Lepisosteus oculatus: one gene and its partner. The protein of the gene in region 1 purifies or fractionates together with the protein of each later gene. This does not show direct contact. Links are inferred from orthologs where the notes say so. Each region holds a gene or a part of one and is shown in the gene's direction. Other genes may lie near its edges.

Region 1 (4,718 bases):
CTTCAACAAGATGGCTGGGGTGGCTGGCACCACACTCCTACAACCCTTTGAGTAAAGAAGTGATGCCTGTTCTAATTGGAGGATCATGTCTACCCACTTCTTGAGAGGTGCCAGGGTACCGGCCTCAACAGCACAGCTGGCTGGCCTGTTCCAGACTCCCACCACCTTTTGGGTAAAGAGGTGGCTCCTGTTCTCTGTTTTAAACTAGTTTGCACAGCTTCCACTTGCCTGCTCTGCTTGGTGACTGCTGGGGAATGCTTTGTCGATGCCCTTGAGGATTCTGAATGCTGGTGTCTGGTCCCATCGTGTCCCCATGAACTCTGTGGGCTGTGTGGCACTAAAGCACAAGAAGCCCGTGGAAGAGTCAAGTGCTTCTCCACACAGCTCTTGACTGCGCGGTCACAAGCAGCCTGTCCTCCAGTAGTTTTGAGGGCTGTGGCTGCACCTGCACTGTGCCTTTTCCGTCCCTGCTGGGGGGGGGGCCGCGCAGTCGTGGCCGGGCCCCAGGTTACAGAGTCGTCTCGAGCGAACGAACAGTGAGACCAGTGTGTCGAGCGAGGCCAGGGGCAGCGGATCAGCGCTCAGCAGTGTGTGAAGAGCAGGGAGCCATGCGATCCCTGAGAAAAACACCAGCCAGGAGAAACAGCCAAGCAGTCCGGTGCCGTGAAAGCAACCTCTGGGAAAGGAAACGACTCAAAACCAAGAATGGAGCAGTGAGAGATGCCATTGAAGAACCTGTTTAAAAAGGGGAAAAAGAGCTGCTTTGAATACAGAACATCGCATTGCCTGACAAATTCACACAGCACTGCATCATTACAGGGTTATTGTATTACAAATAATAGATAAATATTCATTTTATTTGCAGTATAATTGCAGAAAATAGGGGTAAACTTTTAAGAATTTGATTAGATTTTATGATGACCTTCCATTCCTTTGTACCAAGTAAGGACAATAACATGAATTCTAGTGTTCATTCTGTGAGCTGTGAATACATGCAGAAGACATATACCTATATTCATTATGAATTCTGCAGGAAATGTTTAATTTTGTGTCGCTCGCTATATAATTGCCTTGGGATTTTGGGAGCTAACCTGCAGTGGGTGCTGCAGAAAATATTTAATTAAAAAAAAACACACAGACGTTGGTGACATAAGATGACCACCAAAATGTAAGATCCTGACGAGACAAACTCGGGTGGAGTTTTGGAGGCCCAGCCTGCTCTGCGTGTGTAGTGTGTGCAATGAGGAGTTTCAAGGTGTAGGTTTATCGCAGAGAAAAACAAGGTGTTCTGCAACACCACAGGGGGGCTCATTGTAGTCATTGCAGAGCGATCATTGCATTGTACTGTATTCTCCTGCCCACACTGTGCTTCATATTTTTAAAGCCGTAATCTTAATTCGGGGTTGAGATTTTCAGTGTAATACGGCTTGAAATAAAACAAGATAAACGTGACCGGTATATACCTGTACTAACCCGAAGCCGGATGTTCCTCTTACTACCTCTGTCGGTGAAAGTCTATGTTAAATACAGTTTGTTGTTGGGGCTGCTGTACAAAGGTCATTCTGCAATCAAACCAATACTCCTGCAGAAATGATAGAAGTATAACTCATGAAATGGACAATAAAAAGCATTTATTTACTGTTTTTTAGCCGTAAGTGTTTCATGGTTTTGTATTTTAATTGTATTCATGAATGTTTGAAAGATTTAAAAATAAAATTCTATAAAAAAACTCGATCTGAAATGACGCTTTCGGTTCTAGGATTCGTGGAAACGTGATTTAATTACATGTGATTTAATGGGAACTGAATTATTTAGGTCTTTATTAATATTGTAAAGATGTAGGAACGCAATCTATTCAAGTCGAAGTTTTTGTCAAGTGAAATTAAATCTCCAGTTATAACATGAACATACCTAAGTGGTAGTAATTAAAATGCCAGCTGAGACTAAACTTGTTTATTCTTTAAATGCTGTTCTGCAAAAACAAAATCGCTGAAAATGCGTGCAAAACGTTTAATGCTCATGCAGTGAGTGCATAAGACTTGAAACTTTAAAGGGTGGGGACGCAATTAAGTGTGACACAGGAAGTAAACGTGGAACAGATTCACCGGCTTACTTGTTGAAAGAAGGTTTATTCGAGCAAGTTAGTTTACGGTTGAAGTGGAGGGTCCAGTAACAACATGTCACCTTTCAAAGCCAACAGCATGTACAGGTCGGTACGCTTTGCTTGCTCGGAAGGTCTGGCAGGAGTCGAGGACTCTAGTTTTTGAGTCTCGGTCTGCTTTCTGTCTGCAGATGAGGCGGCTGCTGTTTGCGGTCTGGGTGCTCTTTTACTTCGTCTCGCTGCTGGTTATACGGGAAATGTGGACCGGGAGATACCTGAGGAGTCCACTGGCCAGGGCGCTGCTGGTCAACATGGCCAGCGAAACGGGACCGCACGGCTCTCAGGAGGTACCGGGGTGACAGTGGGCTACATGTGGGGCTGGGGACGGGGGCAGAGAGTTGTTTGCTAATTTAAGCAAATTAAGCTTTGCGTGAAGTTGTGCATGTTGTTGTACTTTTGTTTTCCTTAGTTTATCCACACCCTGGGCGTTTCCTTGTAAAGTTTCATTTTACTCCTATTTTTTTTTTTAGCTTTATTTTAACAGTAGATGCCAGTAGGGCGGCGTTGGGCTTCAACCAGTGTTGTTGGCAGATTTTTAAATCGCCCCCTTGAGCAGGTTTGAGAGGGATTGGGAATGTAGGAGTTGCAGTGATTCATTATATATTCATTATTATGCATTTATTGGAAGAAAGTGTTCGAATGAGCAGGCTGAGGGAGGCACAACCACCAAGTGTGGTTGAATGTTTACACCTCTCCTCCAAACGCAAAAGACAAGCCTTGCGTTACGGGCAGTAATGAGACTGAAGCCTGGCTGTGAGGCCTGTGCCTGTGTCACCCCTGGGGACTTCTGAAAAGCTGTGATTTTTCAGGCTCTGCAGGAGGCTTCATCAGGCCACAGGACCTGTTCACAAGGGTCATGCCAGGTGCCAAATAAGGCACACCGGCGGTAATTTCGAATCTTGCAAGTGTTAAAACTCGCAGGGTTTCGTGCTTGACGTGTTTCCACGGCGCCAGCTGCACTGGTGCTGGGAAGCGAGGCAGACGCAGTGACCCGAGCTGTTGCTCTCCGAGGCCCGCAGGCCGGGTTCTGGGGTGTCGTGCCCGGCACGAGAGCGGGCCCTGTGAGAGCCAGCGCCGTGTTGGTGATGTCTGGGCCCGGGTGTCTCCGCAGTGGTACCGGTGCTGCCCGGAGCTGCTGGGCGAGCCCCTCCGGCCCGCCTTCGTTCAGAGCCGCCTGGATGAGGACACGCGCGCCTTCCTGAGCCGCAGCGAGGAGAAGTCCAGCTGGCTCCTGATGCAGCTCTACCACTCCTTCATGTCCACCCTCTTCAGCCCCTTCCTCTCCCGCACCTCCATCAACGGGTACGTCTGCCCTCCTGCCAGCCGGGCTTCTGTCTCCCCCGCCCCCCATCTCCCTGTCGCCCTCCTGGCCAGGCGCGGTGTCTGTGCTGGGCTGAGGGTTCCAGTGTTGTGAAGCTGCCGTGTGTAGGATCATGTCTGCACGCCCCCTCTACCCCGGCCATGCCCACCCTGCCCGGCTCGCTGTCTCCTCGCCGTTAAGGACGTGAGAAAGGCCTCTAGACGAGAGGAGCCCCTCTAGCCCTCCCAGAGGACCCACGATCTCGCCAGCTTGAGCCGTGTGGCTCGTTACACCACCCCTCCCCCCCCTCCACCTCCCCTGGGGTGAAGAAGTGCCTCCCGCTCCGTTTCAGTTCAATCCAACCAGCTTTATTGGCACGACCGATGAATGACAGTGTCGCCAGACCGGACACGATCGGCACAGACCTTTTTACGACACGAACGCATCGCAGGGCATTTTCATACAACACAATCAGCACACAGCTTTGTTGAGGCATCAGGTCCCCTTGCAGTCTTCTCTGGTCAAGACGACAGAGGTTCAGCTCGTCTCTCTCGCTCTCTCTCGCTCTCTCTCGCTCTCTCTCGCTCTCTCTCGCTCTCTCTCGCTGGCCAGGTTCCTGGGCCGCGGCTCCATGTTTGTGTTCTCCGCCGAGCAGTTCCGCAGCCTCCTCCGGATCCCCCCGGAGTGGAGGGCCCGCAGGCTGCTGGACCTGGGGGCGGGGGACGGTGGGGTCACCGAGGTCATGAGCCCCCACTTCCAGGAGGTCTACGCCACCGAGGTGTCGGCCCCCATGGCCTGGCAGCTGCAGCGGAGGAACTACACGTAAGAGCAGGTGGCCGTCCGCGCGGCAGCTCGGGCTGTGGTCGGCCGTGAGGCGAGCAGTGGGAGGAGCTGGTTCAGGAACAGAGCGGTGCAGTCACCATGGCGGGTCCCCGAGCCTCGACCCGAGCTGTACAGAGCCAGCTGGAGAGGTCCGGTGACTGAAACGGCAGCTCAGGAATAATGCAGAAAGAGATGGAAGGAAGAGGCGTGTGTACACTTCAAGCTGGACTGTTGGGTGACAAGTCTGTAGAGGCAGGATGTCGCTCTAACATCTCTAGGATGTTCTCTGAAAGCCTAACAACTTACTTCGCTGTACCTCCGGAGAGAGTGTGTTCTGTTTAGGAGGCTAGTTTATATGGGGAGTCCGGGTGGGGTTTTGCGTCCGCGGGCGTTGGCTACAAAGGAATAAGCAGGGATGCCCGCCGCTCTGAAAAA
Region 2 (4,718 bases), on another chromosome or scaffold:
GTTTTTTTTTAGACAACAGTAGCAAATTGCACTTATACTGTATCTGCAGTTTTTTTCCCCACATTTTGACACTGACATTTTTTTAACGTTTTCAATCTTTTCCCTAAAGACCCAACCTTTCCTCTCTCCTGAAAAAAAAGGAGATCAAAAATATTAAAAAACACTCAACAAAATAGTGACAGAAAACCAGGGTGAGTGAAGACCATCGCTGCTAACGTTCTGGTATTCTGTTTTCTTCGGAAAGACAATATATATAGTTCTGGTAAATACCAGCTCCAGTCCATCCCAGTGCATATCTTTGCTCCCTCCTAGATCTGTTATTGAACTCAATTGACTCGTTAATGATTTTAGCAAGAACTTTCAATGGCCTAAGCCCTGTTATGGTACAAAACATGGGTTTAGACATGGTGGGTGTTGCTGGAAAGTTTTGTTTCTACTGTTCCATTAGAGTCTACTGTAAGTAGGCTATTGGATATGCACGTAGATGTTCGTAATTTCTAATTTGTGTATTGATTTTGAAAAATGCGGTTTCATTTCATCACCAAAATACTTTGAATAGATGTATTTTAGAAATGCAATTCTGGAGGAAAACAAAGTGACAAGGAATTATTTTATTACTGATTATAGGGAAAAGTCGTTTTGATTTCTAACAAGCCCCGGAGGAAATTACGTAGGGAAATGCACAATTTCCTAAACAAATGTTAGGCTTCATCTAACTGTGCCTGCAAAACTAAATCATTGTTAATCCAGACGTAAATAAACCAATGTTTATGTGTTCTATTTTCTTTAAAACAGAGGAATAAACAGATTAAGCAAGGACAGTCTGGTGAAGTTCATTTCAATGACATAATTTCACACGCGGTTGTCAATATTTTCTCCCGATTAACTGGAGAGAGTTTTGACAACTCCCATCTCCTTCCTTTTATGCACTTGGCTTATCTGCCTGCGAAGTTTGCGTATGAATTCAACACAGCTCCGAGCTCACCTGACACTATATTCACAGAAAAACTGGCTTGCCGCTTCCTACTTAGAGGGGCAATGGTGAAATCATGAGCCTGCGTCATGACGTAAAAAAATGCAGAGAGCCGAGTAAGAAGAAAGCCATAACATGTCGCAGGTTCCGTGTGCCTTCCGTACCGCTACGAAGCGTAAATGACGTGAACTGCATTGGGGGAACAATCGGAGAACGCTCTACGAATTTAGCGCACTATCCTTTTGAGAATGCCCAATCCGCATACCCCTGTTGGCCTTTTGTGCGCGGCTGCGGATTGAATTTTTTGGTACCGAGCGAAGAGGAGATGCACACGGCACTCGAGTGAGGTAACTATATAAAAAACCCGATTTGTTTTCATTCGCTCTCATAACACGGAACCGGACAGCTAGTACATAACAACAAAGCTCAAGTGCCGTACTGGAATTAATAAAACACGGGAGTGGTTGAAGTTTTTTTAAGGGGTGTTTATCACAAAATTGCTGTTCGTATTTCTCTTTAGAACGAGATGAAGCCCGTTGAAATCCCGTATTGAATAAGGATGTTTGTGCTTTGGGTTGTTTTTACGCTTAAGCTGGCATCGGCAAAAGCAGTTTTAGCAGAACTGGGTAGCAAAACGGTACTTAAAACATTGGACAGTGGTATTTCAAACAATAGTAAAAAATCGTGTTTGGAAGAAAGGCGACGTTGTCTTTCATCACGTGTTGGTTAATACATGCTGAAGCTCGGCGCTTTAGCTTCCCTAAGTGCGTGTTTTTTCTATATAGAAATGCCACGAAGCGCCTAGTTTGTGCTTATCGTTTAAGTAGAAACAAATATTGATCAATTCCATGTTTTAAACACGTTTTAAATATGGCTAGGTTTTAAACGTCTGATGAGTGCTGTCTTCCTGTTATCACATGCGTTTAGGATGCTGTACTGTATGAGAGTTCAAATGTATATTTTACTACAGCACACGTAGGCGTATACTTTATAAAACCTTTTCAAAATTTTGACGTATGACCGTATGACCCTTTTGCGACAAATTATGTGAAGTCCGAATTTAAAATTGCTTCGAGGTTTCGTAAACTACTAATTCAGACGATTTGTGTCATATTCTTAATTTACTGCCCTTGCATATACATTCTTTCAAACATTAACATGAGTCAATAGCAGTGTCCCCCCGATTTATTCCATTAATTTTGTCCTTAACCTAAAAACCGAGATGAATAACGACTAGCTTCTTAGTGGCTTCCGGTAGGATCCACATTGTGAATTTTATACTGATTACTGAAGCAGGTCTCAAACTGTAAGAAATGTAGCACAAAAGAACGAGAATATATTCAGGGGTATGTGTTGACGTTTTGTATTTTTTGCATTCTGTTACTATTAGAACTAAAAACGTCCAGCATGAGATACAGAAGGGTTACTGGTTTCGGTTCTTCATCTGGTATGAACATTCATTTTGGTTTTGGTGTGATTTTTGTACACGGGGTTTCCATGTGATTAGTACGGTCTTTAAAGTGCTTTTACAGCATTATGAAAATAAGGTTTAAATTTGTGATTTTAATTAAAAAATGTCCAGATGTAGTGCAAAGAAACTACGATATCCTGGATCTTGACATGTCAAAATCCAAGGCTAAAGGTTATTGATTTATAGATCTGTTAGATCTATTGGAGTATATTGACCACTAGTATGATTTGAGTGTTATGAATATGTTTTTTAAACTACAGACAAATTATGATTTATAATTTGTGCTTCACAGTTCTGGGTGTTGTTATGTTTATCCTTACACAGTGATTTTTTATTTTCTTTGATTGTGTTTCTGTACTGCTTTATTTGTAAAGACGTTTTACCAAGGCCATTGGTGTTTCTTGGTGGCTTTGCAAAGTTCCAACATTGAAATCTTTTCTGTCTTAAAAAACGTACTCATCTGAGAAATTGTCCAAATACAGTATTACTACAGTATATTACTTCATGATATCTGTCCTTCCTGTAGGAGTTTACTCTTAAGACAGAGATTTTCTGAGACATTTTTCTGAGATGCTGTTAACTGCAAAATACAAATAAAATATTACTCTTTAGAATTAATTCCAACAAAAACATGTCAAGTGGAAAGCTTAATTCCCTCTCATCTCTTGAACAGCCCACCTTACATGTTATAGTTACAGTATCAGCTCACAAAAAAATAAATTAAATATTTAGGACTTAAGTTCATATAACACTGAAACCCTCCATGTACTTTAGCTTTCATAATTAAAAGAACAAGCTCTTTACAGACTGCCAAGTCATGCATACACTCATGAGGAAAATCTTTTCTGGCTTAATATCAAGATATTTTTTTTTTCCCTTGAAATGATATGCTGCCTAACTCGGACACATTAATGTCAATTAAATTATTGCTGAAAGTCTCAGTCTTGGTGATAAAATCAGTATTACATGGGGTTCAGTTGATGCTGGTGGGTAAAAAGAACAAGATACCACTGGGGAATGCACTGAGATAAGGAGGCATTTTATCAGAAATGTACAGCAGTCTCATCATAGACGAAAGGGTGAAATCTTCCTCTAACTTTTTCCTCCCAGGTAGGTGCAGCAGCGATCTATTCAGAATCCATGCCATTGTGTTGGAATCCACAACAGGGTTGTGGGAGTGTTGGAACAAACTACTCAGACATGTTTTTTAACCCGTTTTCCTTGAAGAAATGAACTACTAACTGCCAAATGGGTTAGATGGGCCCAAAGGCCTCCTCTTCATTTGTGATCTTTCTAGTATTCTTATGTAATGGGTATGACTGTGACTAAAAAGTCTGTACTTTTGGAGTCTTGAAATTTTCTTTCTTGCCTGAGTAGGACAGACTGAGGAGACACCCAGGCAGGGACAGCTTAGGGTCAGAGCGCAGGGTCAGCCATTGTACAGTGCCCCTGGAGCAGCTAGGGATAAGGGCCTTGCTCAGTAGGATTCCTGCCGGCCGTGGGATTTGAACCGGCAACCTTCCAACCACAGACGCAGATCCTTAGCCACAGAGCCACCGCTCCACCCCACATTTGGCACAGCATGCAATCTTCCTTAATTAAAAAAACACTTAAAAAGCAAATATGTATGCAAGTAAAGCCATAAAGCAAGGTCAGAATTACATGATTATCTCCTGCATACATCACATACTTTGTATTTATATTTATCTATTTTTTCCTTTTGTAGGGGGTGTGTTCTTTAGGTTTTAAGGTTTACAATAGAAACAAGTTGTGGGAATGAAAAATAAATGTTTTCTGTGGGTATTGTGAGAGGCGTGTCAGTGTAATGTAAATGCCGATGGACTTTGGAAAGAGACTTCAGAAGGACAAATTAATATTTTATAGGCAAGTTGCACCTTGTTGCTGATAAAGACCATTTTTAGGATTGGTTGAATGGCTTGGCATAATGAGGAAGAAGGAAGTTGCAGTCACTCCATGTGAAGGATATGTACAGTATTAGCTGCTGTAAGCCTGAAACCGTCTGAGAGAACAGTTTTTAATCTATTTATTCTCATTATGCATTTTCATTTAAAGTGTTGACACAGGGAAATAGCTTTGGTTTATGTAGTGCAACATTGACATTGAAGAAAGTATTCAGATATGTTTTTGTATTGACACACCCTAGCTCTTTTAGTGATAGGGGTTTATCATGATTGAGTATTTTGAAATTACCAGTAAGTCATCAGGAACTGTGGTCAGACACTACAGCATCAGTCATTTTGACATCCTTTAATG

What was found. The genes of interacting proteins can lie anywhere in the genome.
Region 2: the proteins of mettl9 (region 1) and slc39a10 purify together in Homo sapiens (co-immunoprecipitation; 3 studies listed by BioGRID and IntAct, with this or other methods). This does not show direct contact. The link is inferred for Lepisosteus oculatus from reciprocal best matches to the Homo sapiens genes METTL9 and SLC39A10.

Annotation. Positions count from the first base shown.
Region 1 is NC_090714.1:16,660,448-16,665,165, forward strand, and holds the start of mettl9 (protein-L-histidine N-pros-methyltransferase), read left to right. Parts: upstream 1-1,560; 5' UTR 1,561-1,651; intron 1,652-2,060; exon of another isoform or gene 2,061-2,209; intron 2,210-2,292; coding exon 2,293-2,448; intron 2,449-3,272; coding exon 3,273-3,463; intron 3,464-3,807; exon of another isoform or gene 3,808-4,073; coding exon 4,074-4,283; exon of another isoform or gene 4,284-4,718. UniProt on the Homo sapiens protein: Protein-histidine N-methyltransferase that specifically catalyzes 1-methylhistidine (pros-methylhistidine) methylation of target proteins.
Region 2 is NC_090707.1:10,323,078-10,327,795, reverse strand, and holds the start of slc39a10 (zinc transporter ZIP10), read left to right. Parts: upstream 1-992; 5' UTR 993-1,320; intron 1,321-4,718. UniProt on the Homo sapiens protein: Zinc-influx transporter. When associated with SLC39A6, the heterodimer formed by SLC39A10 and SLC39A6 mediates cellular zinc uptake to trigger cells to undergo epithelial-to-mesenchymal transition (EMT).